Linked DNA regions of Alligator mississippiensis. The protein of the gene in region 1 purifies or fractionates together with the protein of each later gene. This does not show direct contact. Links are inferred from orthologs where the notes say so. Each region holds a gene or a part of one and is shown on either strand. Other genes may lie near its edges.

Region 1 (3,746 bases):
AAAACCAAACCTGAAAGTTGGTTAAGAGTCTGAGAGCGACTTGGGTTTTGCATATGCTGCATCAATTAATCGCCTCAAAAGTTATCCGACATGCAGGTTGTAGTCATATTGGTCTAGAGGCAAAAGGAACTGAAGCTTGGGAAGTTATATTTTTATCAGACCAACTAGACACTTGCAAACAAAGTATTGTATTTATCTGAAAGCTTTTGGGCACACCCACCCTTCATCATTTATTTTTTTTAATGAAAAGTTCATAATTTTACAAGTAGGATGCATTTTATCACCTGAATTTTTAACAGGAGGCTCCTACCATTGTTCGAGCAAATTTGCGTCTCCCAGAGCACAGGAACACTAATACCTCGCCACTTAAACTCCTGCCTAGAAGAGCTTTCCATTCTCCTGTGAACTATCAAACACATAACCTGAAGCAAACATGCCTCTACATCCAGCTTGCACCAGGCAGCTTTGAGGTGAAAAGACTGTTTCAACTTTTCCCTGTGCATCGCCTGTACAAGGTGAACTTTTCCAAGCAGGAGACTCCACCACACCTTCAGCTCTCCTGAGAAATATGAATTTCCATTTCTACCTAGAACTTCGCCACTCTCTGCTCTCTCCTGCCCTGTGCATGGGAACGGGTGAGCGTGCCCGAAAGCTTGCAGATAAATGCAGTCGTTTGTTTGCAAAGAGCTAGTTGATCTAATAAACGATATCACCTCTTCCATGAGTTTCGACACCTTTTAATATTAACTATCGTGCACGGGTTGAAAAGATGATACAAAGACAGTCATTACCGCGCGAGGGACAACGCCGACCGCACGAGCACGGCCCGAACCCCCCACCGCCCCCCCGTCAAGCTTCCGGTCCCTCTCACCCCGAGGCCGGATGTGATGTCACGACAGTGATGGCAGCCTCCAGCCCTGCGGCCACGTGGTAGGCGCCGGCGGAGGCAGCGGTGAGCGCAGGGCGCGGGAAGAGGGGAGGCCCGGCCCGGCGGCTGGGCCAGGGAAGGCGCGGGGTCCCGCTCCGAGGGCAGGACAGCGGGGCGGGCGGGCGGCTGCGAGCGCAGGCGGAGGTACCGGAGCCTGGGCCAGGCGGGGGGCGCAGGGCCCGGCCGCAGCCGCTTGGCACCAGCGGCCCCGAGCAGCCTGGCCCGCGGCGGCCTCTCGAGGTGCCCCTGAGAGCAGCTCTAAGGTTTGCAAACGTGGTTCGCAGAACAAGCGCAGAGACTGCCGCAGGAAGCGGAGTGTTCACTACGTTGTTAGTTTGTGTTTTTTGTGGCAGAAGATTGGGTCTGTTAGCTTTGCATACTAGAAAAAACCAAGTCGAAACCACTGTTGTCAACTCTTATGAGTTTACGCTTTGGGAATGTGAAAAATTTAGCTCTTTCTTTTATCTATATTTGTGTATGATTTGTATAGTGTGTGTGAAAGAGATGAGTTTTTCACATTCCCAAAGCGTAGACTTTAAGAACAACAACAATCATGAGAGTTGGCAACACTGCAAAACTGAGAGCTGGCGGTTACCAAGGGGATGAGTGTAAGGAGGGGAAACTGGAGCTTAAAAAGCTGCTGGTTTAGAGTCGGCCTTGCCTGGTTACTTAGGTCTCTTCTGTGGAAGCTCAGATTTTTTTGTTGGTCTCCTAAAAGATATCATCTCTATTACAAGTCCTAATTGCTTTTTCCTTTAGACCAATGCACCTACAACTTGGATACCAGTGCTAACAGTAACTTTCAACCTGGCTGAAGACTCGTCCATCTCATTGCAGTCAGTGGGAGATGAGTTGTAAAGAGCATGTACCCAGTTACCATTTTGAGTAGTAATTTCTTTCTTGGTCCCTTCCTCCATGTTTAATGCTTAATTGCTGCAGATTGATGCAGCAAATCACTGCTTTTCATGGGCATGTGTACTGCCCTGTTTTTATTTGTGCATGTCTCCTGGCTATTCTTTCACCATGTTACATATGTCATTTTGGGAGTTGAGCTGGCCAGTGTGTTTAGCATTAGCCAGCCTGGAGCTCCAGTGCTACAGTTGGCATAGGCAGCCTCTGTGTGGGCCATGACAGATCAGAGAGGGGACAGATAACACCACGGCAGATAGGGCAGGAAGAAGACAGCAGAGCAGGAGATGAAGCAGAGTAAGGGGATTGGACTGGCCATTGGAGAGTGTACAGAGCCCACATAAGAGCCCAGTATAAAGCTGTAAATCCAAGGTTTCCTTCCCATGCTCCCGCCAAAAGACCTTTCAGCACAAAGTGCTAAAGGGTCATGGTTAACAAAACGCACAACAGAGCTATGCGATGGTTTGTCATCAGGGTTTCTTTACTGCAGAGGTTTCCAGTGTCATTTTCAGCAAGAGGCTGATAAATGAGTAATTAAAGATTGTTTGTCAAATTGCATGCGTGCGTTTGGAGTCGCAGTTGTTCTTAAATGTGCAGATTCAAAACAAAGAGGGCCTAGTCAGTGGGAGCAGGACCAAGCCCATAGACTAAACTTCAGAGAAAACTCTAGTTAAGACTTGTGTCCCATTAGCTTTACACATAGATGGCATTATGCACCATCTGCAGTGCAGTGTTTATGCTATATGTTATATGAATCTAGATACCTTGTTCTGCTGATTTTTACAATGATTTCTTTTTCAATTGTTTTAGATCATGATGAAGACAAAAAAGGGAAATAAGTTTAGAGCTTCCTTTAAATCAAAACAAAGGGGTATCAAAGTAGTAGGAAAATGGAAACCTGTCGAAATCGACCCAAATCTATTTGCTGATGAGCAGCTTGGAGATCTGGTGTGCTTTGAGGAGCTTACAGATTATAAGTTAATGAATTCCTCTAAATCTGGAAAAGAAAAAGGCAAGAAGAGAAAATCTGATAGTGTCTCCGAAGAAGAGGATTCTACCATCCAAAAAAAAAAGAGAAAGAAAGGCAAAGGTTTGGGAACTAGAACAAATAAAAATGATCATTCTGAGGAGAGAAATGACGTACTCACTGATCAAGAAGATGAACCTAAAGATACCGTCACATTGACTGATTCTGAGGAAAATGAAAACAAAGCTGAAGCTGCTTTAAGCACAGAAAAAACTTTGAAGAAGAAAAAAAAGAAAGCATCTCTACCCCAGCAAGATCCTCCCCCAGCAAAATCTTCTAAGAAGCTTACAAATTGGACAACTCAGGTTTTATCTGCATCATCTGATCAAACAGCTGATGTGTCTGCATGGAAAGACCTCTTTGTTCCAAAACCAGTTCTTCAGGCCTTGAGTTCTCTCGGATTTAGTGCTCCAACTCCTATTCAGGCATTAGCTCTGCCTTCTGCAATTCGAGATCATATGGATATTCTGGGCGCTGCAGAAACAGGTACAAATGCACACAGCTAGAACATTAAGTACATTCACTGTCACCTTTCTCTCTCTCTCAAAAATGCAGTGTATTGTCATAATTGTAATCACAGGATAAGAACCTGTAAGTTACAGTCCATCCAGTGAACTAGGAAGGGAATGGCTGCAATACAGAAGATTTTACTTTACAGATGAAATATACTGCATTTGTTTTGCATACTAGGACATTCACATGTACAAAGCTTTAAATCCTCCACATAATTTTGTCTGGGGAATCAAATTATATTTGATGCACTTTTTTAAAACTAGGTCAGAGCTCCCATTACCTCAAAATCAGAGATCTGTCAGAGCCTGAGGCTCCTTTGCTGGCTTTGCAGATCCACTTAAGGAAGTGAGGGCCAATCTCTTTCACTGG
Region 2 (3,746 bases), on another chromosome or scaffold:
AAAAGGTAACCTCCCTTAGTCATTTTTACGGATAGCCACGACGTGGAGCGGCAGGGGATTCAGAGCACTGGGCTCTCCAAGACAGCCTGATTTTCACCTGTACTTCTTACTGTTTTCAAGAACGGTATGTGCTTAGCTCAGTATCTCTGAATATCTTGCCAGCTGTACTGAGTTTTTAACCCACCCACCCATAGTAAATCTATGTAATTAAATAATAGTGGTTGCAGCAGAGCATGGGTAGAAAAGAGTTTCTATCCAAAAAAACATTTCTATGTGGAGTGGTTTTATACCATGAAAGACAACAGAGGTCCCATCACTAGGACTTGAAATGCTGTTCTAATTTTTTTAATTTAAATTGGAAAGTGGTAGGAAATAAAAGAGCACCAGAGGCACCCCCATGCGGGAGAAATCCTCATAAAAAAACCAAGCAAACTGGGGCGTCCATATGAAAAATCTTCTTGTGCTGCAACTCTAATGTTGCAGTGAAGAAATTCCCAAAGCGTCCAGAAAAAACACCCGTGTGTGCAACGAATACGTTCCCTCACACAACAGGTATCGGATATACATACTCACACTTCAGAAGCCTTTCGCAGAAGAGGTAGTTGTTCATGGTATCTGCCACAATCTTAGCAACGTCATCGGACTCGAACTCTACAAATGCGTAGCCTTTACAGCTTCCAGTCTGCAGACGACAACAACAGTATCAGAAAACTAGAGGAGTGTTTAAGTGCCAGATGCCAAAACAACTCTAGCTGCTGCCTTAGGCTTCAAGGGGTCACGTTCTGTTCTCAGAGAAACAAAAACAACTCCAAGCCCTCAGCATAAATTGTACGTGTTTTAGGTCAGTCTCTAACGCCACAAGTAACAAATATGTTCACGTTACGCAGTAAAATAGAAGAGTTGAGTCATGTATCTGTGACCAACTAAAATTCATGCCACCAAGTGAAGAGCTGTTGCCTTGCTGATGACGTAAAGAATGAAAACACAAGCATCTGTAGAAACGCGGCTCATTAAATGCAAGCAAAGCAGTCAGAAAGCTCAGAGATCCCATCGCTCAACCATGCTCTAAGTCTTGCAGTGAATTCTGACCGCTCTGATAACGTCCCTCAGTGAAGTGAATCTGGTTGCGAAGAAAGGTGCCAGTTATGAGACCGGAAGAGCAGAGACGAGAATGAACTTCAGAGAAAACATAGAAAAGGCTAACACTGAACAGAACGGTCACGTCCAACCGGGGAAACTTATGACGGTAAAAGCAGAGAAGGAGAGACAAGAAGCCAACTAGCCACGACTGAAAGAAACCTGGGGGTAATAAAAGACCACAGCATGAACAGGAGCCGGCAGTGCGATGCTGGAGCCCATACGGCAAATAACACCCAGGTGTGCGTCAATATAACACCCAGGTGTGCGTCAATCGATGCATCTCCAGCAAAGCCAAGGAGGCGATTCTTCCACTCTATTCGGCCCTGGTGAGACGCAGCTGGAGGACTGCGTCCAGGTGTGGGCACTGCAATTCAACAGGGACATGGAAAAGCTTGAGAGGGTCCAGAGAAGGGCTGCCCGTATGATCAGACTTGCACGGCAAGCCATACGAGGAAAGGCTGAGGGACTTGGGCCTCTTCAGCCTCAAAAGAAGGCTGGGAGGAGGCTTGGTAGCAGCTTACCACTGCATCAGGGGAGTATATCACGGGCTCAACAAACAACTGTTCACCAGGCACCCTCGGGGGAAAACCAGGAGTAATGGCCACAAAATCCTGGACGATTGATTCAGGCTTAACAGTAGGAAAAACTTCTTCACATTTGGGATGTCCAGACTGTGGATAAGCTCCCTCCAGAGATGGTGCAATCGCCTGCCCTGGACATCTCCAAGAGGAGACTGGACGGTCACCTTGCTGGGATCTCCTGATCCATTATCTTTCCTGCCTGGTGCAGGGGGCTGGACCCGATGCTCTTGCAAAGTCCCTTCCAGCCATAAGATCTATGAACCTAGCCAGCGAGCTACGGCAGCAACAGAGAACACAATCGTAGGACAGGAGCGCCACGAGGGACCTCAGGAGGTCACATCTAGTTCAGCGTTCGCTCGCCCGTAGGTCACGACCCAAAAGCGAGTTGCAAGAATATATGATTGCGAGCCAGCTTCTAAAGGAGAGTCCATTTTTAAGGGGAAAAACCATGGGAAACCATGGGTTTTCGCCTGCAGCCGGGCAGAGTCCGAGACTGCCCCGCGCGCTGGGGGCAGCGGGTCCTGGTAGAGAACGGGTTAAGGCCTGACCGCTGCCCAAAGCACGTCCTCCCACCCGGGGGCTTTGCGCGGCGCGATGCCACCAAACGGCAGAGCAACGCAAAACCTTTTTTTCCACCTTTTTTTGGTTTTACCTTTTTGCTCCTGGCCAAGCGCAGCCTGGTGACCGTCCCGAACTGGCTGAAGTACTCGCGCAGCTGCGGCTCGTAGAGACCCTTCGGGATGTGCCCCAAATACACCACGCCCGGGGTCAGCCTCTCGTGCTGCGGGGACAAGGCCGGGCACGTCAGCAGCAGGCCCCGCCGAGGGAGGCCCCGCAGCCTCCCTCCTCCCCCTGCGGCCGCTGTCCCCGCGAGGCGCTCACCTTGGCGGCGCGGACGCGCTGCACCTTGGCCTGGAACTGGCGCTGCAGCTGCGGGTCCAGCGAGAGCAGCGCGGCCGGAGCCGCCGCCGCTTCCCCGCCGGCCGCCACCTCCGCCTCCATGCTGCTCCCGCACGTGCGCACGGTGCGCTCCGCACCACTTCCGCTTCCGGGTTCGTCGCCGGAAGTACCGCACTCCACTTCTGGCCACGCCCCCCAAGCTACAAGAGCCGCGGTAACGGTTGTCCGATGACGTCATTGCCAGGCGCGGGGGTGGGGCACCTGGTTGCCAGGCAACAGGCAGCGCGCGTAGTGTTGCTGGGTAACGAGCCTCTTCCCCCCCGCCCCTTTGAGTGTTTGGTGGGTTTTTTTAAGTCAGGCAGCGCGCGGGGCAGCCCTGCGCCGCGGAAGGACCCCGCTGGGCGGAGGGCCCCTGAGCGCGGAAGGACCCGGCGTGCCCGTGCCGCGCCTGCCTGGGAGCCGTGTCGCCGGCAGCCCCAGCTCCAGCGCCGCCGGGGGCGCGGTGTCATCAGGCGGACCCTGCTGGGGCGCTGCCGCGTCAGAGCCGCCCTGAGCCGAGCGCCGCCCGCTGCCGGGGCCAAGATGGCGGCGCCGGCAGCGGCCAGGGCAGCCCCGCGCCGCGGCCGCCGAAGGACCCCGCAGCGGCGGCGCCAGACGAGTCCGGCTCCTTGTCTTCGCGCGCGCCGCCATAGCCATGTCGGTCAGCGAGATGTTCATCGCCCTGCAGGGCTCCCTCAGCGTCGACCAGGACGTCCGCGAGGTCGGGAGGGCGGGGAGCCCGGATACGGGGGGGGGGGGGGGTATTCCTGGGTAGGGGGGTGTGGGGGGAGGGGCTCTTTGAGGGGGTTTGTGATTGGCTCTGTGAGGGGTTGTGGGGGGGAGGGGCTGGTTGTGAGGGGGGTTGGGGAGGGGCTCAGGGGGGTTGGAGGAGGGGCTGGTTGTGAGGGGGAGGGGCTCAGGGGGGTTGGAGGAGGGGCCGTGTTTGGGGTCCCTGGGCGCCGCACCGCCTCCCCTCCCCCGTGACGCGCTGGCGGCGGGCGCCCGCAGGAGATCCGGAAGGTGGTGCAGACGCTGGAGCAGACGGCGCGGGAGATCCTGACGCTGCTGCAGGGGGTGCACCAGGGC

What was found. Proteins that work in one complex are often made in the same cells at the same time.
Region 2: the proteins of DDX24 (region 1) and NIFK purify together in Homo sapiens (affinity purification with mass spectrometry; 3 studies listed by BioGRID and IntAct, counting the BioPlex papers as one, with this or other methods). This does not show direct contact. The link is inferred for Alligator mississippiensis from reciprocal best matches to the Homo sapiens genes DDX24 and NIFK.

The regions. Positions count from the first base shown.
Region 1 is NC_081825.1:277,182,321-277,186,066, reverse strand, and holds the start of DDX24 (ATP-dependent RNA helicase DDX24), read left to right. Parts: upstream 1-865; 5' UTR 866-952; intron 953-1,097; exon of another isoform or gene 1,098-1,191; intron 1,192-1,687; 5' UTR 1,688-1,775; coding exon 1,776-1,793; intron 1,794-2,647; coding exon 2,648-3,350; intron 3,351-3,746. UniProt on the Homo sapiens protein: ATP-dependent RNA helicase that plays a role in various aspects of RNA metabolism including pre-mRNA splicing and is thereby involved in different biological processes such as cell cycle regulation or innate immunity.
Region 2 is NC_081827.1:247,264,486-247,268,231, reverse strand, and holds the start of NIFK (MKI67 FHA domain-interacting nucleolar phosphoprotein), read right to left. Parts: upstream 2,783-3,746; 5' UTR 2,724-2,782; coding exon 2,604-2,723; intron 2,503-2,603; coding exon 2,374-2,502; intron 683-2,373; coding exon 574-682; intron 1-573. Other genes in the region: TSN (translin), read left to right, coding at 3,316-3,381, 3,669-3,746.